Linked DNA regions of Astyanax mexicanus. The protein of the gene in region 1 purifies or fractionates together with the protein of each later gene. This does not show direct contact. Links are inferred from orthologs where the notes say so. Each region holds a gene or a part of one and is shown in the gene's direction. Other genes may lie near its edges. The genes, in order: srpk2, ythdc1, srrm1 and pnn.

What was found.
Region 2: the proteins of srpk2 (region 1) and ythdc1 purify together in Homo sapiens (affinity purification with mass spectrometry; 4 studies listed by BioGRID and IntAct, with this or other methods). This does not show direct contact. The link is inferred for Astyanax mexicanus from reciprocal best matches to the Homo sapiens genes SRPK2 and YTHDC1.
Region 3: the proteins of srpk2 (region 1) and srrm1 purify together in Homo sapiens (affinity purification with mass spectrometry; 3 studies listed by BioGRID and IntAct, with this or other methods). This does not show direct contact. The link is inferred for Astyanax mexicanus from reciprocal best matches to the Homo sapiens genes SRPK2 and SRRM1.
Region 4: the proteins of srpk2 (region 1) and pnn purify together in Homo sapiens (affinity purification with mass spectrometry; 3 studies listed by BioGRID and IntAct, with this or other methods). This does not show direct contact. The link is inferred for Astyanax mexicanus from reciprocal best matches to the Homo sapiens genes SRPK2 and PNN.

What each region holds. Positions count from the first base shown.
Region 1 is NC_064409.1:52,787,630-52,795,593, reverse strand, and holds the start of srpk2 (SRSF protein kinase 2), read left to right. Parts: upstream 1-4,325; 5' UTR 4,326-4,447; coding exon 4,448-4,463; intron 4,464-4,733; coding exon 4,734-4,800; intron 4,801-7,964. Other genes in the region: pus7 (pseudouridylate synthase 7 homolog), read right to left, coding at 149-459. UniProt on the Homo sapiens protein: Serine/arginine-rich protein-specific kinase which specifically phosphorylates its substrates at serine residues located in regions rich in arginine/serine dipeptides, known as RS domains and is involved in the phosphorylation of SR splicing factors and the regulation of splicing.
Region 2 is NC_064408.1:10,366,868-10,375,078, forward strand, and holds the start of ythdc1 (YTH domain-containing protein 1), read left to right. Parts: upstream 1-5,061; 5' UTR 5,062-5,263; coding exon 5,264-5,291; intron 5,292-7,684; coding exon 7,685-7,786; intron 7,787-7,874; coding exon 7,875-8,173; intron 8,174-8,211. UniProt on the Homo sapiens protein: Regulator of alternative splicing that specifically recognizes and binds N6-methyladenosine (m6A)-containing RNAs.
Region 3 is NC_064421.1:41,980,197-41,988,009, forward strand, and holds the start of srrm1 (serine/arginine repetitive matrix protein 1), read left to right. Parts: upstream 1-4,388; 5' UTR 4,389-4,467; coding exon 4,468-4,488; intron 4,489-6,466; coding exon 6,467-6,556; intron 6,557-6,670; coding exon 6,671-6,793; intron 6,794-6,799; exon of another isoform or gene 6,800-7,813. UniProt on the Homo sapiens protein: Part of pre- and post-splicing multiprotein mRNP complexes. As a component of the minor spliceosome, involved in the splicing of U12-type introns in pre-mRNAs. Involved in numerous pre-mRNA processing events.
Region 4 is NC_064421.1:1,237,123-1,245,685, forward strand, and holds the start of pnn (pinin), read left to right. Parts: upstream 1-5,255; 5' UTR 5,256-5,327; coding exon 5,328-5,440; intron 5,441-8,558; coding exon 8,559-8,563. Other genes in the region: gemin2 (gem-associated protein 2), read left to right, coding at 429-473, 1,433-1,501, 1,571-1,681, 2,839-2,897, 3,736-3,772. UniProt on the Homo sapiens protein: Transcriptional activator binding to the E-box 1 core sequence of the E-cadherin promoter gene; the core-binding sequence is 5'CAGGTG-3'. Capable of reversing CTBP1-mediated transcription repression.

The sequences.
Region 1 (7,964 bases):
GGTTTTCCGACAGGGATTAAGCCTAGTCGTCGATTATATTTTATTTTCAAAGGAAAATCTCTATTCAGAATGCAGAACAATTCCTATATGGCAAATGTGTGGAACTTTGACATTATGTGTACCTTTCCAGGCAGACTGACCCACTAACCTCTCTTTCAGGATTCCAGAGAAGCCATTATGCTCACTGACAAACTTGCAAATGCCCACATCCACTTCACTGAGACCATACTTCATCATGTCAGCAAAGCTCTCTCCTTCTCCATCACATTCTTCCAGAGCCTCCTCTTCTTCCTCCCCTTCCAGCTCCTCTTTATCATCTTCTGTCCGCTTAGTGGCATGGCTGCCATTTGCTTCATCCTGAACTTTGACTCTTTTAGCAATGTGCTCTGAATCCTCTTCTGGGCATGTCCGCTTCTCTCCAACATGAACTGGCTCTGCCAAGGGCTCCTTGTCCTCCATTGGCACAAAGCTGATATCATAGTAAAAAAAGGAAGAGAAATAAGGAAAGGCAGAGTTATACTGCAGGCTGTTGATTCCACAGTGTGAGATCTAACTACACTGAGTTACTTACTGAGTGGAGGTAAACGAGAAAAACTAGGAGAGAAATCTCTTTGTTGTGTTCAGATGATTTAAGCCTTGCTGAGAGATAACAGAAACACTTTCTTGCAGGATGAAAAGAGAGCAGTTCTGTAGAATAGAAAAGAGACATACATGTACATATATAATAAAGCTGTGTAGCACAGTGAGCACTAGCTGGCTGATTCATCCTGCCAGACCCTAAGGCTAAGTTTTAACCGAATTACTTTAAGGCTTGACAGTCCCTATACATTTTTGGGGGGTTAACAAATATTAAGCACCTATTTCACAAATGGATGTCCAACAAATTACCAGTAAGTAAATAAGGTACAGTATGGTATTGTACAATACCCAGAAATTGGTTATGCCATGGAGGGTTAACATTCTTAATCAGCTTAAACAGACCATGTTGGTTTTTTAAAGCAGTGTAGTATTTTCCTTCCCTTTTTTACCCATTAAAATTTCTTGTCTCGTATACAGGCTACAGGTGTAGATGATACAAAACCCTTTTTTCTTCTAAAATCTCCAACAGTACACTTGGAGAAGCTGTCTATTTTCTCTCTACTCCACTTAATAATTCCATATCAGTAACAGGAATCAACACAAATTTTGCATGATTGAAAATAAATGTAAAAACTACACAAACAAATATTGATTTTAAAATGAAGTTCAGGAAAGAGCCAATTATTTTGACATTAGCAGATTTACTTATTATTATTTTTATATATTTTCTATTACAATTACAATTATAATATTTAGTAATGTTCCTTATCAAACACAAGCTTTTTATGTAATGCTTGAATAGAAACCCTTAAGATTTAGTGGCTTAATTTTAGGCAGACAATTGACAAAAAAGCTTGGCCTGTTAAGGGGTTAAAGGGGTGGGAATTTAATGCCGTCAATCATTAATGTGGTGAGGTTACCGGAGTATGTTAGCAGAACAATCTCCACACTCTGTTACTTCCACTGTGGAAAAAAACAACTGTTATGCTAATCAGAAGAATACAGGTAAATGGTAATTGCTAGCCACTATTTAATAAAAAATAACTATCAAGCAGTGCTGGAGGGAGTCCGGCACATTCTTAAACTGAGCGGCTAGTCCGTTTCTGATTTTCCGCTGTGAGTTATGTTAGGGTTAACTGACTGTATCCGCACTGTGCCGCTGTGAATGCTATGCTATTAATATACGTTTACCGGATAATAATTTAATATAGCTAACCCAGCTAGATAACTGAGGTGTATGTGAGTGAATCTGATAATAGTATAGCGCCCACCTTCTCCAGCCCAGTCCTGATAGCCGCCGTGCTGCTCTAAACATCAAACCACGTGTCCACGTGCCCGCTCTCCTCCGGAAGTGTTTACTGGGTTAAGCTCCGCCTGCGCGCTTGTTTTTCCCTTTTTATTTATTCGGTAATCACAAAAATCACACATTTTATCAAACAAAAAGAGTATCGGTTTACAAAATATACTCTTTTATACAATATAACGTACAGTGCCAGTTAAAAGTTGGGACACACCTCTTTTCATTTTCATGTCTTTTCTTTCTTTTTATGTTTTTTTTACATTGTAAATGTAATATTGAAGACTATATTCAAGCTATACAGGAACACGTGAGATTAATTTGTAAACCAAATGACCCTTATATGACCCCATATGACCCTTAATTGTTTAATGTCTTTAATGTAGAAAATAAATATATAAATAAAGAAAAACAATGAATGAGAAGGTATGTACAGACTTTAGACTGGTACTGTATAAACACATAAAAATATAATTCTATAACACTCACAATCTTCTGCGTATTGTTAGCTTTTTGGGTATAAAGGAAGTTAAGCAGGCAATCATGCAGCAATTTTAAATGGGTGCTAAACTGTTTCAAATAACCCTTAGAGGTTATTCCGGTTTTGTGTAAATTACATTTTCCCAGCATCACTTTAGCACCTAGAAACGTTACATAATTTTTAGTGATCTATCTGTATAATTATATCTGTAATAAAAACATAATTTGTAATGTTTTTGCATAAAATGTTTGATTTAGATTTTAATGAAAATAAAAAGGGGCCCAAAAATAAACGTTTTATTCTTCAACATTATGAAAAGTATAGATGTAAAAGAGGTAATCTCACCCAAACGCCACAAGCAAAGAGAAAACAATACATTGGAGGAGCCTACACAATTCCGTGTGTACATGAATGGGTTAAAACGTCCAACGCTCTTGGATGTTAATGTTAAAATCTGGCTAAAATATTGTCCAGCAGATGGTGCTGTGGCTCTGAGCCAATGCATGTTGTTCATTATTCAAATCCCCTTCTTAAAGCAGGACCAGGGACACAGGCCTGTGTTGTTTGCGTGTGAATTATCGAAATAACCTTTTTTACATATGTGTATAGAAGTCCATCATTTGTAGCAAGCATTGTTTATAAAGCGTTTTGTGTATTATCATCAAATTATTATGTATGCATTGCGCAGTTATGCATATTATACAGTTAGAATGATTTAGTAAAAAAATGTGCACAGTCCCATGTTGATTAAACTCTGTGGGGTGGATTAGGCAGATGTAAGGACCGAAGGTCGAATATATGAACAGATGGGTGGATAAAAAGGGACTGTGTGTGAATGTTAACTGCTATCCGGATTTTTTTTAGCCCCTCCGATGTCTGCATAGACTATATGTATTCTCACACATGACAACAAATATTATTACCACAAAACTCGGCCTGCAGTTGTGTCTTAGGCAGATATGTAAATTAATAGGTGTGCTCTGATTACACTGGGTCCTGCCAGAAGAGGGTGTAAAATTGCTTTTTTTAGGAAGTGTTCCTCTTTGTGACTGCTAACCATGCCTATATGATGCACTCAATGAAACTTTGCGCAGTTGACAGACATTGAGAGAAAACACCTTACTGGACTGAGAGAAGGTGTTAACGATTGCCTCACCTTTTGTTTGCAGTTGTGTCATGAACTACAAACCTGAAATTCTTACAAGCTGGAACCGTATTCATCTTCAGTGAATAATCCAGGTTCTGTTTGGGATTTGATAGTGGTCCGGTTTGTGTATGCTGGAACGACACACTGCCCCAACTGCTGGTGTGGTAATCTGGAGAGCCTTCGCACAGGACAGTTGGTCACCCATAGTGCACTGCAGATTATTATTATTACCACAAAACTCGGCCTGCAGTCCTGTTTTAGGCATATATATAAATTAATAGGTGTGCTCTGATTCCACACTGGGTCTTGCCAGAAGGGTGTAAAATTGCTTTTCTCACTACCACATTGAAAGGCTGTGTGAGTGGCTTTTTTGGGGAAGTGCACCTCTTCGTGAGAGATTGTTGACTGCATGCCTATACAATGCATTCAAAGATACTTTGCCCAGTTGACAGACTTGGAGAGGGAACACCTCACTTGACTGAGAGAAGTAGGGTGGTTGTTTTGTTGGCAAGCTATTGCACACAGTTGTTCACCCCTAGTAGTGATACTAATAGCTTAACCATATATTCAGTACATCCTGTGGCTACATGTGCAGAATTACCTAAAATATGTTTTGATCACCTACATATATCATCCCATATCATACATTCACAAATAGGAAGTTTAATATAATTCTAACAGTTCTTCTCGGAGAATATATATATTATTTTTTTGTCAGTACGTGTATATTTAGATGTTCCTTGTGTTTTAAATGTGCTTTACAGGCTCGTGCGGGAGTGAATCCATCCTGTGTAGCTTCTCAGTGAAGGATGGATGAGGATGCGCGTGCACGCGCGGCTCCTCCCACTCTCCTAGACAGCGGGAGCGCGCCTCCATCCTCCAGCCGCGCTGGAGAGAGAACCGGGCTGCCGCTGCTGGCGCTGAGGCGAGGAGGATAAACACCATGAGCTCCAGAAAGGGTACACTAAACACTATAGACTATTTAAATTCACGCAGACATCTGCTCGTTTCGGCGGGGCTTCTGAAAACCTCGCGTCCAGCCCTGCTGTCGCGTTGCGTGACCTTTTTTTGGATATTGTTGTTGTGTGTTAATGTACGATGCTTTCTTTCCACGGTCAGCTAACCTAGCTCTCTGTCTCATCGAGCCCCTCTGTTTTCCCTCTGTTCTCTTTCTGGCGTCCCTCCCCCCGGTGCTGCCTGCCCTCCGTCTCCTGCTTGCTCTCCTCCAGTGATGGCTATCCAGGCTCGGAAGAGGAGGCCGAAGGGGAAGAAAGACAAGGCGGCTCACCACCGGAGGTAAGTAAGCAGGGGCGTGGGTCGTAGGGGCAGCTCTCGGAGTTTGTATCTGTGTGTATATAGAGTGTATAGGTTGCTTCTATGGGCTGGTAGCATTGAGGTAACGTTAGCTCGCTGCTGTTACTGATGCGGGCTCTCAGCGCGTGAGCACAACACGCGACCGTTACGGGGGGAGGTTAGCTAGCTAGTGTTGACAGCAGCCCCGGCGAGGGGCGGCGTGTGGACGGTACTGATGACTGACCGTAACGCTATATAGCTAGTTCTCACCAACCATATAACACATACACACACACACACACACACATAGTCACAGATATGCAGCTTTTGAGGGCTGAAACAGGCTGAATGAGCGGGGTTCAAATCGTTGCTAACATTAGCTAACGATAAATGTTGATTGAATACAGCGCTGTTTCACTGTGCAATCTGCCCAGCGAGTCGCGAGTTGCTAATGGCAACGGCCCGAGCTAAAGCGTCGCCTCGCGCTTCCTCGCTGTGCTCGAGTTTGCATGGACTAGCTTACTAGTCACATTTATGGCAATTTAGTTATGTAAGAGCACACACATGTACGCGCGCGCGCACATACACAGTGTAATATATGTGTTACATATTTTAACATTAATTTGTTTAACCAGAGCTACGTTATTACAGATATCTACTATTATTGCATGCCTAAACATTTTATCAAATTAATATAACGCTGTTTATATTAGCTTAGAATAAAAACCTATTTGAGACACTTTGGATTCCATTGCCCTTCAGTTGTATAGAAGCTCCAATTCAACATATCTGCTATTCATTATTTCTGATCATCTGAAATAAAACAACATTTTAGTCATCAAAATTGTCCTTCTTTTACTAGTAAGGCTGTAAATGCAGATATCTTGAATTGCCATTTCAAATATACAAAATGTAATTGATACCAGATACTAGAGTAAAAACTCTATTATGTATATCTAGCATTCAATTGTGAACAGTCAGACTTTAATCTTGTATGTGTGTGTGTGTGTGAGTGAAAGGGGGTGGATTATGAGCTAGCTATGAAGATGGTGTGTGTGTGTTGTGGGCTGGATTGAGGGAGATGTGGCTGGATGATGTGACAGATGTGGAGCTGATGCTTTTGGGGGCGTGGGCGTGCTGCTAGCGCTGGGTTCAGGGTAGAGGGGAGATGTTGGTGTGTTTAGTGTGTGTGAGAACTCCGTGTAAGAAACGTGGGCGTTTAGAGGAGATATTAGCCGGTGTTTTAAGCGGTGGTCGCTGAGCGGAGCGCGGTGCAGCGGTGGGACTAATGCTGAGCGGTTGGCTGGGTTGAGTGACAGCGGCTTCATGGCGCCACGCGATTGGCGCGACGTCACCGCCAGCCGTTTGGTGATTCCCGGGCTGTAGCCGCGAGCCGAAGAATATGCTGGAAAAGCCAGCGTGCTTTTCTAATGCAAGACACCTCCATGTGTCTCACACTGCGAGCCTTGCATGGCGCGATGGGATGCTATCCATGATGCCTCGCACGAGCACTGTTAATACAGTAGCAACAAGATAATAATATTCTCAATGCATACTGCATGTTTTGTTTTTATATATTTCATATGTGGAACAGACTTAATGTCCCTATAGTAGGGGTGTACTAATACACGTTTTTAGGTTAAATATAGTGTATGGAATAATCTTATTTTATATTGTGAGGGATGCATCAATAGTGAAATTATAATGTGGTGCCAATATCCAACATTTTTCACAAACTTATTTACATTTGTCGATATAGACATTGAAAGCTCTTATGTTTGTGACTCTTAAATGTTTCAGATCATCAAACAAATGTAAACATTAGTCAAAAGCCCTATCCAGGTGGGATTAGTTTCTCAGGGGGACTTCTACTCAGTGATAAAACTCTTGCATCTGGACTGCAATTGAAAAGCAGGAGGACCAGTGAGTGGCATTGCGTTCAGTAGCCCCTCCATTTCCACTCGCTGTTGTGTTTACGTGGATCTTCGTGTAAACGCCCAAAGTGTAATTATGGTGCATGGCAGAGGACAAAAAGCTATTTTATTAAACGGTGACGAAACTCTCAGAGCATCCAGACGGGAATAAAATTACAGTAGGTAATTCAGCTTGTAATTTTCAAGTTTTTGAATAAAGTTTTTTACTACAGGAGGAAAAACATCAAAACTACATGGCCCTGTGTGATAAAGTGTGCCCCTCCCAGTTAAAACTGAACTGTGGTTCAATTTCTCTAGCCACACCCATGCCTGATTACTGCCACACCTGTTCTCAATCAAGAAATTACTTAAATAGGACCTGCCTGGCAAAAGTGAACACATCATGCCAATATCAAAAGAAATTCAGGAACAAATGAGAAAGAATGCAATTGAGATCTATCAGTCTGGAAAAGGGTCCTCAAGGGATTTGGACCTGACAGCTGTGTAGCCTTAAAAAAACCTCATCAGTGAAGCTAGCTGGAAAAACAGCTTTTATTATGGATTCTGGAGCAATTGGAGAAGGTCATGTGGTCCAAAAAGTCTGGGGGGGCGGTGCTATGATCTAGGGTTGCTGCAGTTTGTCAGGGTATGTTCAGCAATGGTTTGTGCCCAAAGAATGTGGTGTGCTGACTGCCTAAACCTACTAAACGACCAGGTTATACCATCAATTAATTTTTCTTCCCTGATGACATAGGCATATTACAAGACAATGCCAGCATTCATCTTGCTCAGATTATGAAAGAGTAGTTCAGGGAGCATGAAACGGTGCCACAGCGAATGTGTGCCATAATCAAATTTATAGGCTGTCCAAATAAATATTAGAGTGTGTGACCGTATGCACGGTCAAGTATAACATTAATAATAATTTTATGATACCCTACATGTTTTTACACCTTGTACAATATAGGAAAACTGTAATTCTGTAATTGCAGAATGTGGCTCATCAGTTTCTGTGCATACATTATCATCCTCCTTTCACCCTGTGCATTGGTCAGGCACACCCCAGAGAAGGTATTATTTGGGTGGTGGATTATTCCACCACAGTACTACAGTGACACTGACACGGGAGCAGTGTGTTAATGTGTGTTGTGCTGGTAGAAGTGGAACAGACACAGCAGTGCTGCTGGAGTTTTTAAACACTGTGTGCACGCATTGTGCACTCTGTTAAAAACGCCTACCTGGCAGTACACCTTG
Region 2 (8,211 bases), on another chromosome or scaffold:
CAGCAAGAACATAGCAGACGTATGTAGTCTAGTATGAAGATGATCCGTGCAGAGACTCAAGAGATCTCCAGACAAACTCCAGTCCAACTAAGCTTCTTTAATATATTTACATTCTACTAAAATACATTCATTTACAATCAGCATATATGCAGCTGAAACAGGGAGGAGCCTAGTGCATCCCAAGTTATATTATCAACATTAACATTTTAATAATATAACATTAAATAGTCATCATAGCTTTAAGAAAAATGTGTTTTGGGGAGGGGGAGGTAGTGAACTCTAGGACTCTATAGTGTCGTGGACTAAGCTTTTGTTCTTAATGGCATTTTTTCCCTATTTTACGTTACTTTTACTTTTATACTTTAAGTAATTTTAAAACCAGTACTTTTACACTTTTACTCAAAGAGTAAAAAGCTTGAGTTGATACTTTAACTTCTACAGTAGTATTTTAATCCCCAGTATCTACAGTATACTTCTACCTACAGAGTAATGAATGTCAACACTTTTCAAACCTTTGGTAGTTTCTCTATTGTTATAAATCTGCTGCTTTATTACAGGTGTTGTGGAGATACTCAGGACAGAAACCTGATACTCTTGCTCCGAACACAAAACTCTATGACTGGATTCCTCAGAATGACCTACTAGGTAAAGAGCACACATTTTATCTATACTATACTACTATTTAAACTATTTGAATTAAAAAATTAATATATCATTTAAAACATTGTTGTATATTGTGATTGACTAAAGTCCGGTGAAATGTTACGGACTAGTACCATTTTCCTCCGTAGAAAAAGAACCCTTAAATCATATCATATTAAAAGCACTTAAACATAAACACTTAAAAATAACATTAATACGTATAATATAAAGGCAGGAAAATCACTTGATCCTAATATTTAACCTTTAAATCAAGGGCTCCCTTAAATTCTTACAGTATTTTTGGTTCAAACCTTCACTATACCATTTAATGTGTTTTGATTTTTTCATCAGTGCTGATTAATAACTCTACACCTCCAATCTTTTTTATACATATGTTTTATTGGACATTATATTAAGTTACAGTACACATAATAACAAAAAACAATGTTAACATCCATTTTCTCCTAAACAACATTTTGTAAAAAAAACAAAAAAAAAAAAAACGTTGGTCTACTGAGAAAATAAAAAATATATAGATAAAGAGGAGATAAGTAGCATTTTTAGGATAAACAATGAATTAAAATGTAAAACATATAAACAAGAATAGAAAATAATATTGAAAAAGTAATAAATAATAATAATAAAAGTAAAAGTAGCAATGAGTGTGGTAGGCACACAATATGATCGATTAGTTCAATAAATAAAGATAGAGGCCCTTAAGAATTAGTGAGTTTATGGACAAATGTTACAAATGTTCTATAACATGCTCTAATTAGGTTAGATTAGATTCTATTCCATAAGATTTTAGCTTTATTGTCATTGAGTCAGTTCAAGTACAAGCTTGTACTGTACTGTAATACAGTAATTTACATCTGATTCTTTCAGGACATCCCAAGACCAAGGCTTTCGTCACCCATGGTGGGACTAATGGACTGTATGAGGCTATTTACCATGGTGTTCCAATGGTGGGTATACCACTGTTTGGAGATCAGCCGGATAACCTGTTCCACATGAAGACCAAGGGAGCAGCTGAAATTGTTGAATTCCTCAAAATGACGAGTGGAGACCTGAAGGAGGCTCTCACTGCAGTCATTACCAATCCATCGTGAGTTTTCATTTATTAGGAAGGGGATTATTTTATGAGCGTTTTCACATGTCAGAACCAATTTTGCGGTCTGCCAGCATTCAGTGCTTAAATAGAATGAAACCAAAAATAAATTAAATAATTTGTTGAAATGATTTAAATGGTTTAAGACTGAAGAGGTTATTTATTATTTTATCCTATTTTTAAGTAGTCATTTTAGTAGGTATTTAGTCTATTCATATGCATATCACATTAGCTTTGTTTTTTTTTTGTTTTTTTACCTAATTAAGAACAAATCCATAGCACAGTAGGTAAAGTAAAGCATAACTACACCAAACTAACAAATTTTTTAGTTATTAAAGTTATTGAAGTCCGTAAACGGTAAATGGTAGTGTGGTTTTGGATCACATAACGTACGATTCACAATTTTGAGGAGCAGATTGAGAATTTTTCAGATTAGAAAAAAAGAACAGTAATTGACAGTCATTTTTAAAGTATCAGTAACTTTTAGCTTTCAGTTTGAACATCTTACTGCTTAGTTTGTATTATTAGAAAACTTCTAATTAAATAAAAACTTCTATATTATATAGAAAATTATAATATTATATAAAACAGTTGGTACTTCTGGCAGTGTGGGCAGTGTGCCAAGTCCTGCTGGAAAATGAAATCCCCATCTCCATAAAAGTTGTCATCAGAGGGAAGCATGAAGTGCTGTAAGATTTTCCAGGAAAACAAAACTGCACTGACTTTAGACTTGATAATAAAACACAGTGGATCAACACCAGCAGATGACATGTCTCTCCAAACCATCACTGATCATCAGTAAATGATTAAGGGATCAGAGTCTGGAGGAAGAGTGGACAGACAGTCCAAACTGCTTGAGGTCTAGTGTGAAGTTTCCACCAATCAGTGATGGTTTGGAGAGTCATCTGCTGGTGTTAAGTTTCACATTTTGAGCTGAATTCCTGAAATAAAGTTTCCAATGATATTCTTATTTTTTAAGATGCAATAGTATATTGTTTAAAAAAGTTATCAGTGATTGGCCTAGAAAAATAAATCAATTTTTTTTGCAATTTCTAAGATATGATTAGCGACTGCCTTAATCCAGTGTAGCAATTTGCCTTAAAAAAAAAAACTAAAGAAACACACATCGGTTATCAAGCATATATTGACTAATTGAATACATTTGAGGTAATGCATTTTTCACTGAAATATTCTAATAGAAATTTTGTGGTAAATCTGGCACCAAAGTTTGCAAATCTGGACAAATGATTTAATCTAATGCACAATGCAATAAATACAGGCTTTGCTCAAACCGCAATCTTTACATGATCTAAACAGTATTATTAATATTTCCTTTCTTCTCTCAGGTACAAAGAGAGCATGATGAGACTTTCCCGCATCCACCATGATCGACCAGTGAAAGCCCTGGACGAGGCTGTCTACTGGATCGAGTTTGTGATGCGCAACAAGGGTGCGAAACACCTGAGAGTCGAGGCCCATAACCTCACTTGGTATCAGTACCACTGCCTGGACGTTATTGCCTTTTTACTCGTAATAGTCGCTCTGGTCATCTTTATCTTTGTGAAAACGTGCAAGTGGCTGTTCCGTAAATGTTGCAGAAGATCCTCCGCCAAGAGCAAGAAGGAGTGAAAAAGCTGTGTGAATCGTACTGCACTGTAGTAAAGAGTCTCATGTCTTATTATAGGTTTGAAGACTGAAAATGCTGTGTTTTACTGTAAATCCTTTGTGTCACGCAACAACCTTGTATCTCCAGTTTTAACATTTCAATCTTTTTGACATAATTTGAAACTGAATGTATTTTTAATGATGAGGGGACCAAGAGAAATGGCCTAAAGTGATTTCCATCAAAACTTAAGAAGATGCATCCTTCTCCTGTGAAGTTGCCTTTATGAAATTACATTGTTTTTGCATCACCTTGATATTTTATTGTGTGTGAATGTACTGGATTTTAATTGTTATTCCAACACAAATTAGGGACAAAAAATAGACACACTCTTTACAGTGCCTATGTCATAAGTTTACACTGTTTTTTACAAAGTAGGTGAATGTTAGTTCTAAGATATTTTAATTATAGGTGTTTTATAATTAATTTACACTTCTCTCGACAGGATTAATGTTCAGGGATTTTGTTTGTGTCTTTTTATTTTGAATAAAATACTATTTTGATTATTTAAATGGGTAATTTTTCATATTTTTCTTAAATCAACCAATGACACAGTCTCCTGTCCCTGTTTTTTGTATTTTAAATTCACCCCTTACAACAGTATAAAAGAAATTACTTTGGTGTTAAGGTGTTTCAACAGCCAAAATAATATACTATAGAGCATTAATCCTACCAATTCATGTACTGACAAAACACACACTAGTAACCACACTTGCTCGGAGTGGACCCAGGGATCTGTAAGCCACCATTGCCTTAATATAATTTAACACTATAAGTATATTAGTATATCGTCGCTGTCCAGTAAAAAACAAGTATCTCCATTTTTGTCAATTTTTAGTTTACGACATAATTTTAACGCACAAACTGTCCCTTTTGCTGTTGTATTTTTGTAATGATTGTAGTCATAACTTTGTTTGTGACCTAATTTTGTGTTTCCAATAAAAAAAATGTGTGCAGAAAAAATATTTTTTGAAAAAAGAATAAATAAAAAAAATGAACCAATAAAATAAAAAATAAAATTTAATAAAAAATAATTTTGCTTTTGTATTTTTGTAATGATTGTTGTTTGTGACCTAATTTTGCGTTTCTTTTCTGTGCTTTGGATTGTATGTTGTGCACAAACAAAATAAAAAAAACATCTATTCTATATACGACAGGCAATATTTCTCCCAAATTCCAAATAAAAAATATTGTCAGAAATGAGAAATGTCTGAAATAACAAAAAGATGCAGAGCTTTCAGACCTCAGATAATGCAAAATGAACAATTTCATATTCATAAAGATTTAAGAGTTCAGAAATCAATATTGGGTGGAATAACCCGGGTTTTAATTACTGTTTTTATACATCTTGGCATGTTCTCCTCCACCAGTCTTAGACACTGCTTTTGGATAACTTTATTTCACACTGGTGCAAAAATTCAAGCAGTTCAGCTTGGTTTGATGGCTTGTGATTATCCATTTTATATTCCAGAGGTTTTAAATTTGGTAAAATCAAAGAAACTCATCCTTTTTACGTGGTATTTTTTTCCAGAGCTGTATATACATATTTATAAAACATTTTATTCTAAAATTGCCATCTGGGTTTTCTACTGTGTGTGTTAGGAGGAGGGGAAGTACGTGTTTCCTTACTATCTGGCAACCCTGCCGCAGTGCTAGGAATCCCTCAGCCATTTTAGACTGGAGAGCGGAGGATTAGCCAGGCAGCAGCGGCGGAGCGGCGGAGCTGCGTGTGTGTTTTCACTGATTCCCGAGGATTTCGATTATAACCAGTTTACTGAATAAAGACGCTGGATAAAGGAGACAAAACGAGGCAGCGCAGAGTCTCCGCTAACCCGAGGAAGGAGCCGAAAATGGCCGTCGATCGACGAGACGACAAAGGTAGAGAGAGACTGAGCTAGGCTAGGCTAGCCTATGCTAAGCTAACTGCACCTTTGTCTGCGGGGCTGTTTATGGATTAATAACGCTGCTAACGGCTATCTTAGCTTAGCTAACACAGCCTCAGCGCTGACAACTCGACCTTTAACCGAGTATGACTTTCCATATATTTATTTTAATTACAGTATTTAACGACATTACGCTTTATACATTTTAAACTGTGTAGTTGCGAAATGCTACAGTTAGAGATAGCAAGGTAACTTAGTGTTTTTGTCAGTGCTGTTGAAAGTAGGGCAGTGTTTAGTGTAACCTGCTGATCCGCTGTCTGAGTGTCTGATTCATTAGCTAGTTAACCTACCTAATGGTTAATAACTTAGGAAAGTTATATTAATTTCAATAAAAAAGAACAATAAGGACATATTAAGGTCCTAAACTAGCTGGGATGTTTTGTTTGGGGGGCTTCAAATAGGCCCAAGTTGTAGGACAGTGGCAATATGTAGCTATACAGCTCTGGAAAAAAAGACCTTTTAAAACGTTTTTTTTTTAACCAAATTTAAAACCTCGAATATAATAAAGAGAAAGGTGGATGACCACAAGCCATCAAACCAAACTGAACTGCTTGAATTTTTGCACCAGGAGTGGAAAGGTTATCAAAAAGCAGTGTGTAAGACTGGTGGAGGAGAACATGCCAAGATGCATGAAAACTGTGAATAAAAAACAGGGTTATTCCATCAAATATTGAATTCGGAACTCTTAAAACGTTATGATTATGAACTTGTTTTCATTGCATTATTAGAAGTCTGAAAGCTCTGCATCTTTCTTGTTGTTTCAGCCATTTCTCCTTTTCTTCAAATAAATGCTCTAAAAGACAATATTTTTATTTGGAGTTTTGGAGAAATATTGTCTGTAATTTATATAATAAAACAACAATGTTCATTTTACTCACACATATACCTATAAATAGCAAAATCAGAGAAACTGATTTAGAAAGTGAAGTGGTGGTCTCTTAATTTGTTCCAGAATGTGTGTAGTTGTATATGTTTGATTTTGGGTAGATAAATACATAACTATTAAACTATGCAGTTACGTTGGATAGAATGAACATATTTTGTTCTTTCAATAAGAACATACTCTGGAGACACAAGCATCCATCAATGTTATGATGTAATGGCCAGGGACTACAAGAAAAAGGCCTTGGTTTCAGGAGCATGACTTTGTTGGGGGGTAGGTGGGTGGTTCAGTGAATAAGAGTGTGTTAAGCATAGTACAGCATATTTATCTGTAGGGATAAGCAATATGGCCCTAAAATAATATCACGATTTGTGGTATTTATGCAATATGCAAATCAGTCAATCAGTAATACTTTCCCCCTGCTGATGTTCAACTATCTGCGTCTCACTGCTATCAGAAGCAGACTGCTGCAGCTCAGCCAGTCAGCTTTTTCTCCTGCCACGCCTCTAAACCCATACATCACCCAGTGCCCCTTTTAAACTACCCTTCCCGTTTTCTAGCATTTTTCAAATTTGAGCTGAGGATTGAGTCAGCTAAAATCAGGGGGTTTAGTTACCCTTTGATAGTTTACATCTAACACTGGTGTCAGAGGTGACTTATTTTATCAGTGTTGTAAACCCTGCCGACTAACATAGCAGTGTTACAAATATAATGGAGTTTTTTTCATACAATTACAGTTTTTTCCTCTGACTATATTTAGGGTGTTTTCACATCTGAAAGTCCGGATCAGGGTGTGTGTCTTTTTGTTACAGTGCATATATTGTATTTGGTCTGGTTAGTTTTTGGTTAGTAAGGTTCACACTGCAGTTTAGTGAGCAGACTAAAGAACTTTTACTACATCCTGTCATAATCAGCTATTTTGGTTTCGTCTCTCTACATATTAATCTCTCTACATATTTATCTCCCTACATATTAATTGGTTTGTAGAATGGTCGTTATGAGGTAAGCGAATTACTTTGCCAGGTGTTGCGCCCTTGAGTGGAACCAAGACTCAAAATGGGGGCCCATCCTCTTCTGGTAATCTAGAACACCTGATTATAGCCAAAAACAAAGTAATTAATTTTTATACTGTTTTAGTGTATTAGGTGTGAGCTGCAGTAATGGGATGTTTTAGGTTTGGTTTGTTTCTTCAGGTTAGGATTGCTAGTTTTTTTTTTTTTTTTTAACCCTCTGATGTGGGCCTAATATAGATATTTGGTCTGTAGTTAGCATGTTCTATTTATTCCGTCTGTTTGTTGATGTCTTGACTTGCTAATTTTAAAGCTAAAGGCAGTAATTCACCATTAAGTTAAACCCCATAATCCTCCCTTGCCCTGAATATGATTGATTATAGAATGATGTTCTTTGATACCAAGTTTTAAACCTTTTTAAAATTATCTTTTCAGATGGAGAGCTTAATGTTCTTGAAGACATATTGACTGATGCTCCAGACCAAGATGACGAGCTGTACAACCCTGAAAGTGAACACGGTGTCAGTGAAAAGAAAGGTATGTATTTCTTTAATTAAGGTAGAAGGAGAAAGGCTGTGATAGAGTTATTAAGTGAGAATGTGTTTGTCACTCTTCTCTTACTCAGGGTCCAAAAGGAAGAACGATCGTGGGGACAGCCACGATACAAAGCGGCTTCGATCTGCAGGCCACTCGACCAGGCAGCCAGTTAAAAGGTCAGCCCCTTCCACAGGAGCCAATGGGAAGAAAGTGACTAATCTAAGAGGAAGACACCCACCTGAAGACTTTTACGATGATAGAAAGAACCATTCTGGCAGAGGTGGGTCGTCCAGGGCTGACCTGTCTAAAGGGCACAGTGAGAAACCCCTGAACCGGAGCAGAGACCAACAGAGGAGGATTAAACCGCTGATGCCGGAGCTGAATGAGGTGGGTGGAGCAGCAGACCACATTTATTTGCTTCTGGT
Region 3 (7,813 bases), on another chromosome or scaffold:
GGCTGTGTTAATGAGTATAGCTCATTAGCAACCAGGTTAAGCTAGCCTAACTGGCTCTGTTATTGAAAAAAAAAATACCTTATTGGCCGCTAGGTTACGCTAACCTAATTAGCTTTGTTATAAGAAACAAGGGAAATTAACCAAATTTGCTTTGTTAATGCAAATAGCTTATTAGCAGCCAGGTTAAGCTAACCTAATGAGATGGTTCTGTTAATAAATACAGCTCATTGGCATCCAGGAGAACTGACTGTGTTAATGAATATAGCTCATTAGCAGCAAAGTTATGCTAAGCTAACTTGCTCTGGTAATAAATATAGCTCATTGCCAGCCAACTAAACTACCAGAATTGGCTGTGTTAAAGAATACAACTTATTAGCAGCAACGTTATGCTAAGCTTACTTGCTCTGTTAATAAATATAGCTCATTAGCAGCCTAAGAAATGAACCTAACTGGTTCTGTTAATGAATATAGGTCATTAGCAGTCAGGAAAATTAACCTAACTGGTAGTGGCAGTGAATATAGCTTATTAGTAGTGAAGTTATGCTATGCTAACTTTCTATGGTAATAAATTTAGCTCATTAGCATCCAGGTGAACTAACCAAACTTGCTAGCTTAAAGAATATAGCTCATTAGTAGTCAGGTTAAGCTAAACTAATTGGCTCTGTTAATGCTAGTAGCTCATTAGCAGCCAGGGTAAGCTGGCTAAACAAAACATTTATGCAAATGAATATAGCCTGATTGTTTCTTCTAATGAATATATTGTTTATTATCAGCCAGGTTACTGAATATGGTTATTAGCATTTAGTTTGCGTTAAACATTTTACTAGCATCCGTTCATATCTAGTTATCCCCAGTGAAATAAACATTACTATGTATTTAATTATGTCAGTTAAATAAAACTAATAATGCTGTTATACTAGAAATCCTGGGACAAAAAAAAACTTTTTTTTTCTTTTTCCCATCAAATTGTACTTTCAACCTACTAATATTTCTGTTATTCTACATACTATATTTTACTGTCCTAAAATTATCATTTATCATTTTCTTACTCTGCTTTTGTTCAATAGTATTGTAATGAAACTTGGTTGTCTTGGTTTGACTGCTCTGGGACAGATTTTACTCTCAATTCCCTGTAACCTCAGGGAACCATCATCGGCTATCAGGCTTGATGGTTACATAGTCTTAAGGGTGTTGACCAGAGTGCAGTGTTTGGGATTGGCTCTGGGTGCTTCTCTTAAACACAGTTGTTCCTTATGATGGTCTTGTCTGGTTAGGGGCCTTATTTATTTTTTATGGCACTTAGAAGTTTAGCATTTAGTTTGGTGGTGTGGATTTTCTATAACTAGATATTTATTTTTTATTTAACAAATAACATATGAATTCAGACTGCTCTTATGCTCAAAGTAATGATAATATAAACAGGCACCATCTGGTTCAATATTATTGGTCTTGTCCGTAATGTACTCAATCATATCATTCTGAATTACCACTAAATGCTGCCTTGTATTTCCCTGTTTCTCCATTCACAAAACCTAGCCTTTCATGCTGAAGTTCCAATTACGTTCTTCTGTCCCGTCATCCATATAGCTGTTTAACGTCATTGGGATAATACAAGTACTTCTTTTCAATCTTACTCAAGCTCATTCTCGCTCTCCCTCTCTCTTTCTTTGCCTTACTCTTGCAAATAAGTGAGTATGATGTATAGGTCAAAGACCATTTGTTTTCCAGCCAATTCATGCCAATATGACACTGCAAAAACTGGACAACAGCTCTTACACAGGCCTGGGCCCATGGATAAACACTGCAGTTGGGGCCAGTTCAATTTCAGAAAAGTCAATTCAGCAGGTGAACCAAATTCAGGGGACGAACACAATTCACAACGAATCTGCTCAGTATTACAATTTAGCGTTTGAGACAGAGCATCTCCTGAACTATACACAGAAACTCTCTCCTTCTCCATCTATGGGGTGTGATTTTGGGGGGCCCAACTGATATTGTGTAGAGATAAGCCTTTACAATATGTTAACATTTCATATTGAAGGCACATTAGCTTATTGTTTTCATGCCGAAATTGGGGGAATAAATTGCAGTGTAAATTTATATCAGAAAAAAAAATAAAACAAAATTCTCCCAATGGAAAGGTTCTTTTTTTATTTCTTCAAAGACTGTTTTGATTTCTGACATTTTAAAAGGTAAAAGAGCAAAAAAACAGCATGATGATAGAAATCATGCTAGACGTTTAACAAATGGAATCTTGTGGATCTACGATACTCTAGGATAATGCTTGTAGTGATAATCTGGGACATTCTTCTGATTTTCCTGAGGAAACCCTCCCAAATATTTATTTATCTATCTATATATTGGTAGGAATTGCCTTAAAACACTAGTAAAGATTGTTAATTGAGTTGAATCTCCAAAGTCTTTAGCAAACAGTCATTTTTTTCAGATATGTTTTTAAGTAACACACGTCTTTTAATAGTTAAATTAATTAACTATTTCTTTCTTTCTTCCCTTCTAGGGTAAATGGAATGAAGCATATGCATATATTGTTTATTTTTGAGTTTAAGCAGCTTTAACACTTTTATCTATATTTTATACATCATTTAAAAATAACTAGTTTAAAACACTTTACACACAGGGGTTTAGGATAATGGTTTATATCAAGAGTGTGACTTCAAGTCAAAATAAAATGTGCCTTATTAATATTTATGTCAATGTTAATAGCTTGTCAAATTTGGTCTACCTTCACTGAACTAATCTCCATGATTTAGGGCTCGTCTTCAATCGGTAAGTCATGAGATTTTGACTGTAGGATACAGTACGATACTGTACGATACAGTACCTGTCAAAAGTTTGGACACCTTAAATGCAGCGTTTTTTAATTGTTTTAAAACTTTTTGCATTGTACATTAATACTAAAGCCATCTAAACTATTAAAAAACATAGGGAATTGTTTAGTAATAAAAAGTCTTAGACAAACCAGAATGTTTTATAGTTTAGATTCTGCAAAGTAGTACCTCTTGCTTAGATGACAGTTTTGCTCATCTTGGCTGGATTTTCTCACTCAGCTTTATGAGGAAGAGTCACCTGGAATTGCTTTCAGTTAACAGCTGTGCTGATCTTGCCTCTTAATGTGTTTTAGAGCATTTCAAGAACTTTAAAAGTATCCTGAAGTGCCGTCACAAAGACCATCAAAACCATTATGATGATCATCAGAACCGCCCCAGGAAAGGAAGAGCAGGAGTTTCCTCTGTTGCACAGGATAAGATCATCAGAGTTACCATCCTCAGAAACCCAAAGTTAACAGCTCCCCAGATAAGAGCATCTAAATGTTTCAGAGTTTTTTGGTTTATTTAACACTTTTAAGTTTCATCATAATCTGGATGACTTCAGTATTTATTTACAATGTAGGAAAAAAATTAAAACATTAAAAAGGAAAAGATGTGTCCCATGTTTTAAACGGTACTGTAAATTATATACTTTTGAACTATTGCTCATTTTAGAGGAGCCAAAACAACTGTCATTTGTTTTGTTTTTTTGTGTGTTTTCTAAAAAAAAAAAAAACATGTAATATAAAATTATTTATTGGGGATTGTGTTCGAAAGGTGTTGATACCCAGGCCTGGAAGATATACCATGCAACATTTTATATCGTTAGCCTGGAAACTGTGTTTTTCCCACATTTGCTTCTCATAAAGTGCTTTGGAATAATAGTGTTATTACAATTGGAATAAAATCATTGTTTTTCCCTAAACGGTATAATCAAGATAACGTTTTTGTTTTATTTAGCAAGGATGGGAATATCCTTTTTTATTATTTTTAATTGGAAATAATCTATTTCTTATTTCATTTAAAGAATGTAAAATTGTTATTAAAACTATTCCCACTGGTTTAAATCATTTAATGAATACTGAATTAAATTGTATAACATTACCTTTTTTACCTCAAAGACATAATTTGTTATATTAAATAAAATAAAAAATCTCCTGAAACTGGAACTGTATTATATTCATGAAGAACATTTTTTTTGAAGAATACACCCAAATTCACATTTTTTTAACTGAAATTCAATGTATCATGTAAAGCTTTAGAATTGTTAATGACACAAAAAAACACTAAATTTCTAAAAAGCTATGATGGGATTTTTGACATGTAAGTGTATTGGGGGAAATGGAACGTTTGGGTTTTTTATGTTTATGTTCTCATTGATATTATATATATACATTACATTTTGTATTGTATTGTATGTATTATACCGTTTGTATATGTGTGCACAGCATATTGCAAAGTGCAATGAAAAAATATCCTTAATAGTGCGCACTACTTAGTGTGTAAGTGCGCAGGGATCCAGAGCGCCAATCGGGACGGGGCCGGGCTTCTTCTGGTAAATGAGCTCAGCAGCGCGGTGGGTTGTGGGGGACGGCAGCGCGTTTTCCACAGACGGTTTTTGTCGCACCTCTCGGTGGAAATGGACGCGGGATTTTTCCGCGTAAGTTCCCGTTCAAGCTGGATTTACTGCGTTTTGGCGGGACGTTAGGAAATAGGGGGTTACTGTGGATGTATGTAGTTAATAACCTGGCGTTTATTCGCCTTATTTTACTGCAGTATTGGAGCCCTGTACCGCGGCGCTAGCAGTGATTAGCCGGTATGCTAGCTAGCTTAGGTAGCTTAGCTAAGCTAACTTAGCCAAGCTAACTTAGCCTAGCCTGGAGAGCGAGCGTAGTGCGGAATGGCAAGAGAGCGGCTAGGGGATATGTTATTAGTTGAATAGGTTAATTTCGGTATAACAGACTTCTGTAAATGTCTTTAGGTCGCTTGTCTTGATGGTATATATCTACAGCCACGCTTTTAATCTGGTTACATATCTTATTAAAGTGTAGAATAGTCGTAACTCTTAAGCGGCGGTCTGCGCGCGGCCGGGCTGTGTTCCCATTAAACCTGTCGGTTAGCATGCAAGCTAACGTTCCTCTTAGCTTCCACTCGCAGAGCAGAAAACTGCGCTGTTTCTGCTTTTAATACCAGGATTTAACACAGTTTACTGATAATTCTCTTTATCTGTAGATTAAAGAAAACACGTAAGGAGTCAGGGCGCTGTTAAATTAGTCTGGGAATACCGCTGAATAGGTCAGGTAAGATTAGGGTAGCTAGCATTAGCTGTCTCGTGCTTCCATCAGATCGTGTGGAGGAAATGCTGTGGTTAATTAGCTTGTCAGCTAACTTTAACTAACTATAGCTAACTTTATGTAGTAAGAGTCTATAACATAGTTAGTGTTAACTAGTTGACTATGCCATTTAAATTCAGTATATTTAGGGATGTACAGATAAGGGAATTATTTGCTGATATCAAATAACGTTATATATGAAAAGTTGTGTATCTGCCAATATACAGTTTACAACTATATAAAAAGGGTCCATTATTTAATAGTATTTGCTACAGAACGTTTTAACTAATTATTTACTGAAATTTGTTAAGACATTGTTAACCATTACAACATAATTTAACTAACGTCTCAATTTATTACCATTTGTTCATAACATTATGATGCATAATTTAACACTAATTGTATACCTTACATTTTAGATTTTAAGCAATTGTGTCCGAACAATAGAATTAAAGATTTCTTATGAGAATTTTACTTATTTACATTTTTGGTTTCCAAATTTATTTAGGTACAGTTAACTAGTTCTTACATAGACTGGTCAAAACGTTAACCCCTCTTTTTTAACTTAACAGGTTAAATAAAACAAATATATTAAAAGTAATAAATATGAGCATAAATCAATGTGTTTTAAAATGTATTTATTTTTTTATTAAATTAAGGAAATAATTTATTATATTGATAGAATGCAATGTTAAATAAAGGGAATGCTGCTTTTATTAATTTTGTTTCAAATAAGGAAATAATTAATTTAAAGAAACAGATTGTTAAGCTTCAAGTTATGTCTTTGAGGCAATGCTTTATTCAGTTGCTGGATTTAAATATTACATTGATTAAACAATTATATTAAAAGAATGATCTATTCAGTTAAGAGGAATTTTTGTTCAATCGTGGAAACGGAATGACTGACACATGACCACTGCAGGGTTAAATAAAATTGTTATTGGTTCTCTTACACACTCCACAGAATTGTTATGTGCATGCTACTTATGTTAATAGTGTTCTTCTAATGCTCATAATGATTTATCAATTTGCAAGATAACTTGGATGATTTTTGGGGTAAATAGAAGAAAATAAGTTAGTCAACAGGTTAGGCTTCCTACCACACCACAATGTAAATAATTTATAACTTTAGTATCACAAGTAGGAATGTGTAAGGAAGATTTGAAGGCGCTTTAAGAATCCAGGGTTTTGGCTTATCTTAAATCCATGCTTTACACCAACAAGGTTGTTGATGTCAGTTTTTCCTGGGACCTTGAAATTAATCTGCATAACTTTCCAATTCATACACTTAACTCTTTTATGCAGGGAACGAGTGCGGAGCAAGATAATCGCTTCAGCAACAAACACAAGAAGTTGCTGAAGCAGCTGAAGTTTGCAGAATGTCTGGAGAAAAAGGTTTGACAATGTTTTTATTTTGTTTTACAGCATGAACATATGTTCTTGTTTGTCTGTTAGTTTTCAATGTTTTGTTTTTTTGACGTATTTTCTTTCAATTTTTTTGTCTTTAAGGTGGATATGACAAAGGTAAACCTGGAGGTCATCAAGCCCTGGATCACCCAGCGAGTGACGGAGATCCTTGGCTTTGAGGACGATGTCGTCATCGAGTTCATTTTTAACCAGCTGGAGGAGAAGGTAGCCTTCATTGATTCTGTTCCTCTGCTCTTTTTGTGGTTACATGCAGGCAGGATTTGCAGTAGTTGTTCTTTTTACATCATCTGGATGGCAGAGGGGTTGGAGAAAAGGGCATTGCAACAGACATGTGCTTTAGAGTCTAACTTGAACCCATTATTGTAGCAGCACAGTGTCACCTGTCTGGTAGAAATGGGTAAAGAATCATATGGACTTGCTGAAGATGCTGAACTTGCTTTGTGGGGTTTTGACGTCTTTTCTAATGATGATGTGATTTATGATTTAAAAGGCCTGAACCAATATGGATGTAATACCTTGCAACAGAAGTATAGCACCAACACCTAATTAGATCTCACCTGAGCCCAAAGTCTCACTGAACCCAACTCTCCCTTGATGATGAACTTTGTTTTTGGAGGTGAGTTATGATCAGGGATTGTACGTATAGAATCGTGTCAAATTTAATTAGTAGTTTGCTTTTTTCCAGAATTGAAATTGATAATTTCAGTTTAAAATGCTTTTGTGTTTGGGCACTAACTGTGCAGAACCAGATATCCCATGATTTTTTTTAATGTTAATTAGCAAAAAAAGTTGAAGTAAATAGTTAACAATATTTTGTACTTTATATGCAAAAACAGTGTTTTTATATGCTTTATTTGCAAGAACAGGTAAAACTGCTCATTTTTTAGAAATGCATATTTTTTCCTGCATTTAAATGGTTTGTTATAAGTAGTTCTAAGATAACTAGAAACTGGACGTGTTTAACTTTTAGCTGTCTGTCTTGGTAAATTAACTAACTATAAAGTTGGTTTTGAATCTTTGGTGGCTGTGGTGAGGACTCACAAAAGGTATTGCCTCGTCTCAATCAGCCGAATTCAGTGTGAAAAGCTAAATAAAGATAAACAGTAATGTGTAAAAGTTTGGGCACTCTTTACGTGGGCAGTAGGTGTTAGTATACAATGGAATAAATACCAAGGATCTCCCTTGTGCAAGTATTATTGACACAGATCATCAAAAAACTTTAAA
Region 4 (8,563 bases), on another chromosome or scaffold:
TCTTCATACTGGATGTTCACAGATCCTTAAAAAAGCCTGAAATACAATGTTCAACAAAACGGCGAAATGCATCACAACAAACCACCAGATCATCTTCTCTTGTGTTCACCTCTTGTGTGTGGCATGGTTAATAAAGTAAATACAGAAAGAGGGTTCTGGGTCTAGTTCTGGTCTAGCACATACTGTATTTTAGTGTAGTTTAGCATGGAGCAGCAGCAGAGATGCATTAGTTAGTAACTGTAGTAATTATTATCTGAATAATAAATCAGGTTAAACTGCACCTGAACAGCCGTTTAGCTCTAAGATGAGGAGTATATTTGATATTTGGGTCAGATCAAGAGCAGAACTTTTCCAACAGATTATTGATTTACTTGGACTAGTATTTATCCACTAATAGTTTCTTCTCGTTCTCTTTCTTGTTTGTTCAGATGGGCTTTCCTCCGTTTCTCAGCATCGTCAGCAAACTCAGTCAGGTGACTTTTTAACATCAGAAAATTATCAGTTAACTGTTGTAAACAAGCCTGTATAAGCCTGTTTATGAAATGCGTTTTTTCCTGTTAGGTTTTTTTGATCTTAGTCGACCTGTTTGTCTGATAACCCTGTAATCTGATAACCCTGTAATCTGATAACCCTGTAATCTGATAACTCTGTGTGTGTGAGAACCCTATATTTTAACAATTATGTACTCTAATAATCCTGTAATATGATAACCCTATTTTTCTGATAACCCTGTGATTTTATAACAATGTAATCTAATAACCCTATTTATCTAATAGCCCTGTAATCTGATAACACTGTAATCTGATAACCCTGTAATCTTAAACTCCTGTGTGTATGATAACCCTGTAATATGATCATTTTGTTTGTCTGAAAACTGTGTAATCTGATAACCCTATTTATCTAATTACCCTGTAATCTAATAAGCATGCTGTCTGATAATTGTGTAATCTGATAACCATGTAATCTATTAACCCTATTTATCTAATAACCCTTTAATATAATAAACCTCTTTATCTAACAACCCTATTTATCTAATAAACTTGTAATCTGATAACCCTGTAATCTGATAGCCCTGACATCTGATAACCCTGTAATCTGATAACCCTATTTATCTAATAACTCTATTTATCTGATAACCTTGTAATCTGATAACCCTGTAATCTAATAACCCTGTAATCTGATAACCCTGTAATCTGATAACCCTTTTTATCTAATAACCCTATAATCTGATAACCCTATTTATCTAATAACCCTGTAATCTGATAACCCTATTTATCTAATAACCCTGTAATCTGATAACCCTGTAATCTTATAACCCTATTTATCTAATAACCCTGTAATCTGATAACCCTGTAATCTGATAACCCTATTTATCTAATACCTCTGTAATCTGATACTCCTGTAATCTTTAACAACTCTTTTTGTTGTGTAGTCGACGGTTTCTGCAGTGCTGGAGTATCTGATCAGCTGGTTTGAGGAGAGAGATTTTGTTCCACAGCTGGTGAGTTTAGTTAAACTCTTCTAAATAACAGAACTTTACAGATGGTACTGAAAGCTCTTATCTCCACAGGGTCAGTGGCTGTATGCATTACTGGCGTGTCTGGAGAAGCCCCTCCTCCCTGAAGCTCATTCGCTGATCAGACAGCTGGCGAGGCGGTGCTCTGCAGTACGAGCAAACCTGGTAAACACTGCCTGCCTCTATTAGCCATTTATATGTAAACCGCTAACAACGAAAATGTAGAGTAGATTCCGAAGTGAAAATGGACAAATAGTATGAAGTTCACTAGAGCTTCACATGACGCCATGACACGAAAACAGAGCTGGTGGATGTTAGAGACCTTGCTCTCCTCCACTTTCTATTTAAGAATGCCCCACAGATGCTCAATTTAAAGCTTTAAAGCTATATCAATTTTGGGGCAGTCCATCACCTTTATCTTCACTTTACTCAGTAAAGCATTTGAGTGCTGAAAGCACTCATACAGCCTCAAACCATGATGCTACCACCACCATGTTTGCCTGTAGGCAAGGGACAATTTTCTTTGTACTCTTTACCAGGACGCCGCCAAATATGCTGGACACCATTTGAGCCAAACAAGTTTATCTTTAACTCCTCAGATCACAGGACATGGTTCCAGTAGTCCATGCTCTTAAACTGCTTGTTTTCAGTAAACTGTGTTCAGGCTTTCTTGTGCATCAGCTTCAGAAGAGGCTACCCTCTAGAACAGTGCGATGCAGACAGAGTTGATCTAATGTGTGCAGTATGTGTGAGCGTATGGTCTGAGCACTGCAGACTGACCTCACACTTCTTCAACCTCTGCAGCAATACTGGCAGCACTATTCTACACATCTGTTTTTTAAAGCCAGCCTCTGAATATAGAAATTTTAAAAGAATTTAGTAATTTTGTCGTAGATTTAGAAGTATGTAGTGATAAAATGATTATAGTAGGAGTCTTCAACATTCATTTTGAACAGGACCTACGTATTACTGTAATCATACTCTGGATTTATTTTTTAGTTTTGAATATTAGATAACCTCAATATTCTTATAGCCTAGGCTATCTTTATATAGAGCAGCAATTCTGTTTCCCACATCCACAGAGAGCTCTTTGCCAAGAGGTGGCATGTTTAATATCCAGTGGCCAAGTATGAGAGAATTGAACCCAAAACACCAAATTTAACCTAAGACCTTGAAACACTAACAAATCACATGACGCCAGGGACGGAAAATGGCTAATTTTGTCACGAATTTATATATAAAACCACACTTGTATATATTTTTAATCTATTGTAAGTATATTATACATGTAAAGTATGTTTTTGTGTTTCATTTTATTCTAGGAGAGCAAAGATGACGACAGGCTGTCAGCACTGAACTTGTTAATCTGTATAGTTGCCAGGTAAACTGTGTTTTTCTAACCAACATATCAATAACTTTAATGGATCATTCTAATGTTATATAGAGTTAATTACAGGTAGATACTCTCACTGATCACTGACTTTATTAATCTTTATTTGGGTTTAGTATTCTAATGTTATATAGAGTTAATTACAGGTAGACACTCTCACTGATCACTGACTTTATTCTTTATGTTTATTCAGGTTTAGTATTCAAATGTTATATAGAGTTAATTACAGGTAGACACTCTCACTTTACAATGACTTTATTCTTTGTGTTTATTTGGGTTTAGTATTCTAATGTTATATAGAGTTATTTACAGGTAGAAACTCTCACTGATCACTGATTGTATTAATGTTTATTTGGGTTTAGTATTGTAATGCTATATAGAGTTAATTACAGGTAGACACACTCACTGATCATTGATTTTATTAATGTTTATTTGGGTTTAGTATCCTAATGTTATATAGAGTTAATTACAGGTAGACACTCTCACTGATCACTGACTTTATTAAATTTTATTTGGGTTTAGGATTCTAATGTTATATAGAGTTAATTACAGGTAGACACTCTCACTGATCACTGACTTTATTAATGTTTATTTGGGTTTAGGATTCTAATGTTATATAGAGCTAATTACAGGTAGACACTCTCACTGATAACTGACTTTATTATTAATGTTTATTTGGGTTTAGTATTCTAATGTTATATAGAGTTAATTACAGGTAGACACTTTCACTAATCACTGACTTTATTATAGTTTATTTGAGTTTATAAATTTTAATGTTATATAAAGTTAATTACAGGTTCTTTTTTTTCCTCTTATTTCTTTTATTTAGGTATTTTGAGCAGATTGATTTGGCTGATAAAGAGTGAAGAAGACGATGCTGCAGATTATGGGAGATTTTTTGTAGATGTCTGTTTTCTATGATTACATGTATGAATGCTGTTATTTGCCAGAAACTGAATGTGTCTCAGCTGATCGACTGATTTCGTGATCAGTGATCAATATTGGTCAGTAGATTTATCAATGAATAGTTCCATTATAAAAACAGTTTACAGTGATTCATTTCAGCTGTATTGAAATAAACCTGTAATAAATCTACTGAGTGTGTTCCAGTTTAGGTTTTGTTTTCTTTTTCCATCACACACTGCATTACATCAGCAGTTTCTGAATGTGACTACTACTACTACTACTATTACTACTACTGATTATACTGACTGGCTAATTTGTCTCTATTTATGGAATTAATTTGGAAATAAAAAGGGAAAATATTTGCTATAAAATTAGAAATTAATATATATAAATATACATTTGTCGTTATTTGAAAATTGTTTTTTTTAATTTGGTCAGTCTTTGCTTTCATTTGTTTGTTTCTGTGGATTTTGTTTTTTGGATTTTGCTGCTAAAAACTTTCAAAATATATATTTGATATATTTATATTTTTATAATAATATATACATATATTTCCCCCCTAATAATAGCAGAAGTGTTAAGTATTTAGCTAATCTAGCACAAACTATTAAACCTTTAAAACCAACTATAATGTCCTACATATTACGGCAAGAACTACTCAGCTAAGTAATTTTTTTTTAATTACTTTAAGAAAAAATAAAGGTCAGTTGATATAAAAACATTCAATAATTGAAAGTATTTTCAAGTGCAGTTGCAAAAATGACCATCAAAAGCGTTATAAAGATAGAACTGGCCCTCATCAGGACCTATTTCCTTACTGTGCAGATGTCCTTCAACAGTACATTTTTTTAGTAATGTTCTAATCCGTATTACGGCAAGAACTACTCAAATATGTAAAGCAAAAAAAATTCTTTAAGAAAAACTGAAGGTCAGTCAATATGAAAAAAATAATAACTGAAAGTATTTTTAAGTGCAGTCGCAAAAAAGATCATAAAATACGTTTTAATGATGAAACTGGCACTCATCAGGACTTGTTTCCTTACTGTGCAAATTACTTGAAAGTCTTTCAACTTGAACTATTTGAGTAATGGTCTAATCTATATTACGGCGAGAACTACTCAACTAAGTAAAGAAAACAATACTATTTTCATTATCAGGTCAGTCGATCTGAAAAATTTCAATAACTCAAAGTGTCCTCAAATGCAGTCGCAATAAAAAAAAAGACCATAAATACGTTAGAATGATTAAACTGGCACTCATCAGGACTTATTTCCTTACTGTGCAGATTATAAACTCTTTGAATCTTGAATCTTTTAGGTTACATGTGACTCTTTATAAGCTGAATAATTGGCTGGCGCTGCCAGCACGAACCACCACGATTGGCGGAAGTTAACGTGAGGGTCGGCGCCTATTGGCTGCTGTGTTTGTCCATCATCAGGTAGAGGTGGAACTCCGGCGGTGCTCCATGCTGGTTAGCGGTAGCGGCAGTAGGGCTAGCTGAGCTATCGGAGCAGGATGGCGGTGGCGGTGCGGAATCTGCAGGATCAGCTGGAGAAGGCAAAGGAGAGCCTGAAGAGTGTGGACGAGAACATACGGAAACTCACTGGCAGAGACCCCAACGAGCTACGGTACGACCGGGGACCGGGATCAGCTCCGGTACAGCGGGGGAACGGGGCTAGCGAGCGGCTAACCGCAGCATGCTAACCGGCTAAGCTAGTTAGCTTACCTTTAGTTTAGAGAGCTAGCTAACGTTAGCTGTGGTTAAATACAGGGGCTGTAGCTCTAATACAGAAAATAGGGTGCACACTTGTGCTCTAACTAGCTAGGGCACTTAAAGCTATTTGGCTAGATTAACATGTAGAATGGGGTAATTACATTCTGTCGATTTCTAACCCCATTAGATAATAAAATAAGCGTTTTACTAATATGTCATATCAGTATTTAAAATGTAATCGCTGCGGTGTGCTACTAAAGTGCACACTTCTGTGTTGTGCCCTAACGAGGGCACTTAAAGCTAGTGTTAGAAGGCTAAACAAGACATTAGGGATTCATTCCAACATACTAGCTAGCTAGCAAAATAAACATTTTACTTATATATATATATATATATATATAATGTCATACATCAATATATAATATTTAATTATGTTTTGTGCCATAGCTAGGGCACGCAAAGCTAGCTAATATGCATTCATACATACATACAATTGCTACGGTTTAAAGTGCATACTTCTGTGTTGTGCCCTAGATAGGGCACTTAAAACTTGCGTTAGTTAGTTAACTAACTAGTTAATATTAATTAATATGTAATATTTAGCACAGTGTTGTCCGTGTTTTCAGTAGTATATAACATTTAACTCTGTTCTGTGCCTTAGTTATGGCACATAAATATAGCTAAAATGAATGCAAACATATATGCATGCATACATACATACATACATACATACAATTGCAATTTGTTTAAAGTCCATACTTCTGTGTTTTAAGAATGCAGAGCTTTGACACTTTCCAACTTATTAGCTAGTTAATATACTAGTACATATAACAAAACATATATATATATATATATATATATATATATATATATATATATATATATATATATATATATATATATATATATATATAGTCAAGTAACGTTAGTTTTATTGTCTAATCTACATATGTAAAGGATATATAGAGGACTTAAAATACAATACAATAAATCAAGATTATTATTGGCCAATAAAATAAATCTATGACTAACATGTAATACAATATATTAATACATTTTTGAATTGCTGCGGTCTAGTGTGCTAGTGTGTGTGCTAATTAGGGCACCTAAATTAACTAGATTAGCAAAGCAGTTAGCTAGCATTGGTTTCAGACTAGATTGGAGTGAAAGGTGCATTCCAATTTTGACCACTTGTTAATAAAAAACAATATTTTATTGTGCAATTTAAGCTAATTACCTAACTTTTATAGTTTAAGGTAGAGTAAGTTGTTGTATAATAACGTGTTTAAAACGTTCCCTCGGCTTGTTTAAGCGAGAGTTACAGGTGGTAGATAGTTAGTGTATTGGGACGCACCCGAAGCTCTTCCTGCCTAACTAGGGCGAAACTGCGCAAAGCTAAGCTAGGCTAGCGAAACTGTGTTAGCTTAGCTTAGCAAGCCCAGCACTGATTGAGCTCAGCAATGCTATGCTAAGCTAATTTTTAAGGCGTATGGTGTCATTTATGAAGGTGAAAGTGTAGTTTTATAGCTAATATACACCAACAGAAAGGATATGGGTGCATGATAATACAGATTGTCTCCTAATATTGTAGATAAATATTAAATATTTTAGTTATTTCTGACAAATTTGCTGCTAATGTTTGCTAACTACATAGTTAGCAGTTAGCTCAGCTGTCTTTAACTCATGCTGACTAGCATAACTAGCTATCCTAGCTAACGTTACCTCAGTGTCAAAATATAATATTTACACTTTATTAAAATGTTTATTTAAGTACTGTGGTGATTTACAGCACATTTAAAGGTTTGTTATCTAGTTCATCAGTTAAAACAGTAGCTGGTGAGTGTAATATTAGGCTATTTGGTTAATATAACAGTTAAAATGGTATATAATATTTCTACAGGCCAAGCAGTGCTGTCAGTCATGTGTGTTTTTTAATAAGTATAATCAACAAACTGCAATGTTTAAGGTATAGTTACTGTAATTCGTGCATTATAAGTATTAGAAATTAACTTACTTTTATAATCTTGGCAGAATTTAAGGCTGCTTTCACACCTACCTTTTTGTGGTAGTGCTGGGTGGTATGACTGAAAATATGTATCATCATGTAGATCACATTTATCTATCTATCTATCTATCTATCTATCTATCTATCTATCTATCTATCTATCTATCTATCTATCTATCTATCTACAGGCCTGGAAAAATATATAGGTATATGTTTAAGTAAAATTAACATTTTATTCTATAAGCTACAGACAACATTTTTTTTATTCCAAATAAACATATTTTTATTTATAGCAATTATTTGCAGGAAATGAGAAATGGCTGAAATAACGAAAAAGATGCAGAGCTTTCAGACCTCAAATAATGCAAATAAAACAAGTTCAAATTCATAACGTTTTAAGAGTATAGAAATCAGTATTTGGTGGAATAACCCTGTTTTTTAATCACCTTTTTCATGCATCTTTGAATGTTCTCCTCCACCAGTCTTACACACTGCTTTTGGATTACTTTATGCTGCTTTACTCCTGGTGCAAAAATTCAAGCAGTTGGTGTTTTGTCGTATCACCAAAAGTATTGCTAAAATACCATGAAATGTTGTGATCTTATTTTAAGGCCATATTGCCCATTCCTACCAGGCAGTGTATAATATCAAACATTAAATGATATCTTTAGTTAGTATAGGGTTAACTTGGTCCCACAAAATTACAGAATATAAAAAGGAATCTGTCTGCATTTACAGATACGATGGAAAACTTAAAAAGATATACCAACAACCGTTAACACAGCTTCCTTATCAACAAAATATATTTTAAGACAGTTCTATAAACAGACCTAAAATACTCGATTTCTCAACTGTTCTATTGCACAAGTAAGACAGGGTAAATATAAATGTACTAATTATAGTTATAAGGTGGGGTGCATGTATGTAAAGGGAGTGGGATTTAGACAGAAAGCTAGAATTCAGCACAACACCTGTAGATATCTGCAGTGTTTTAAAGCCCACTCACTCTGATCTGCTTTGGTTTCAGGCCGG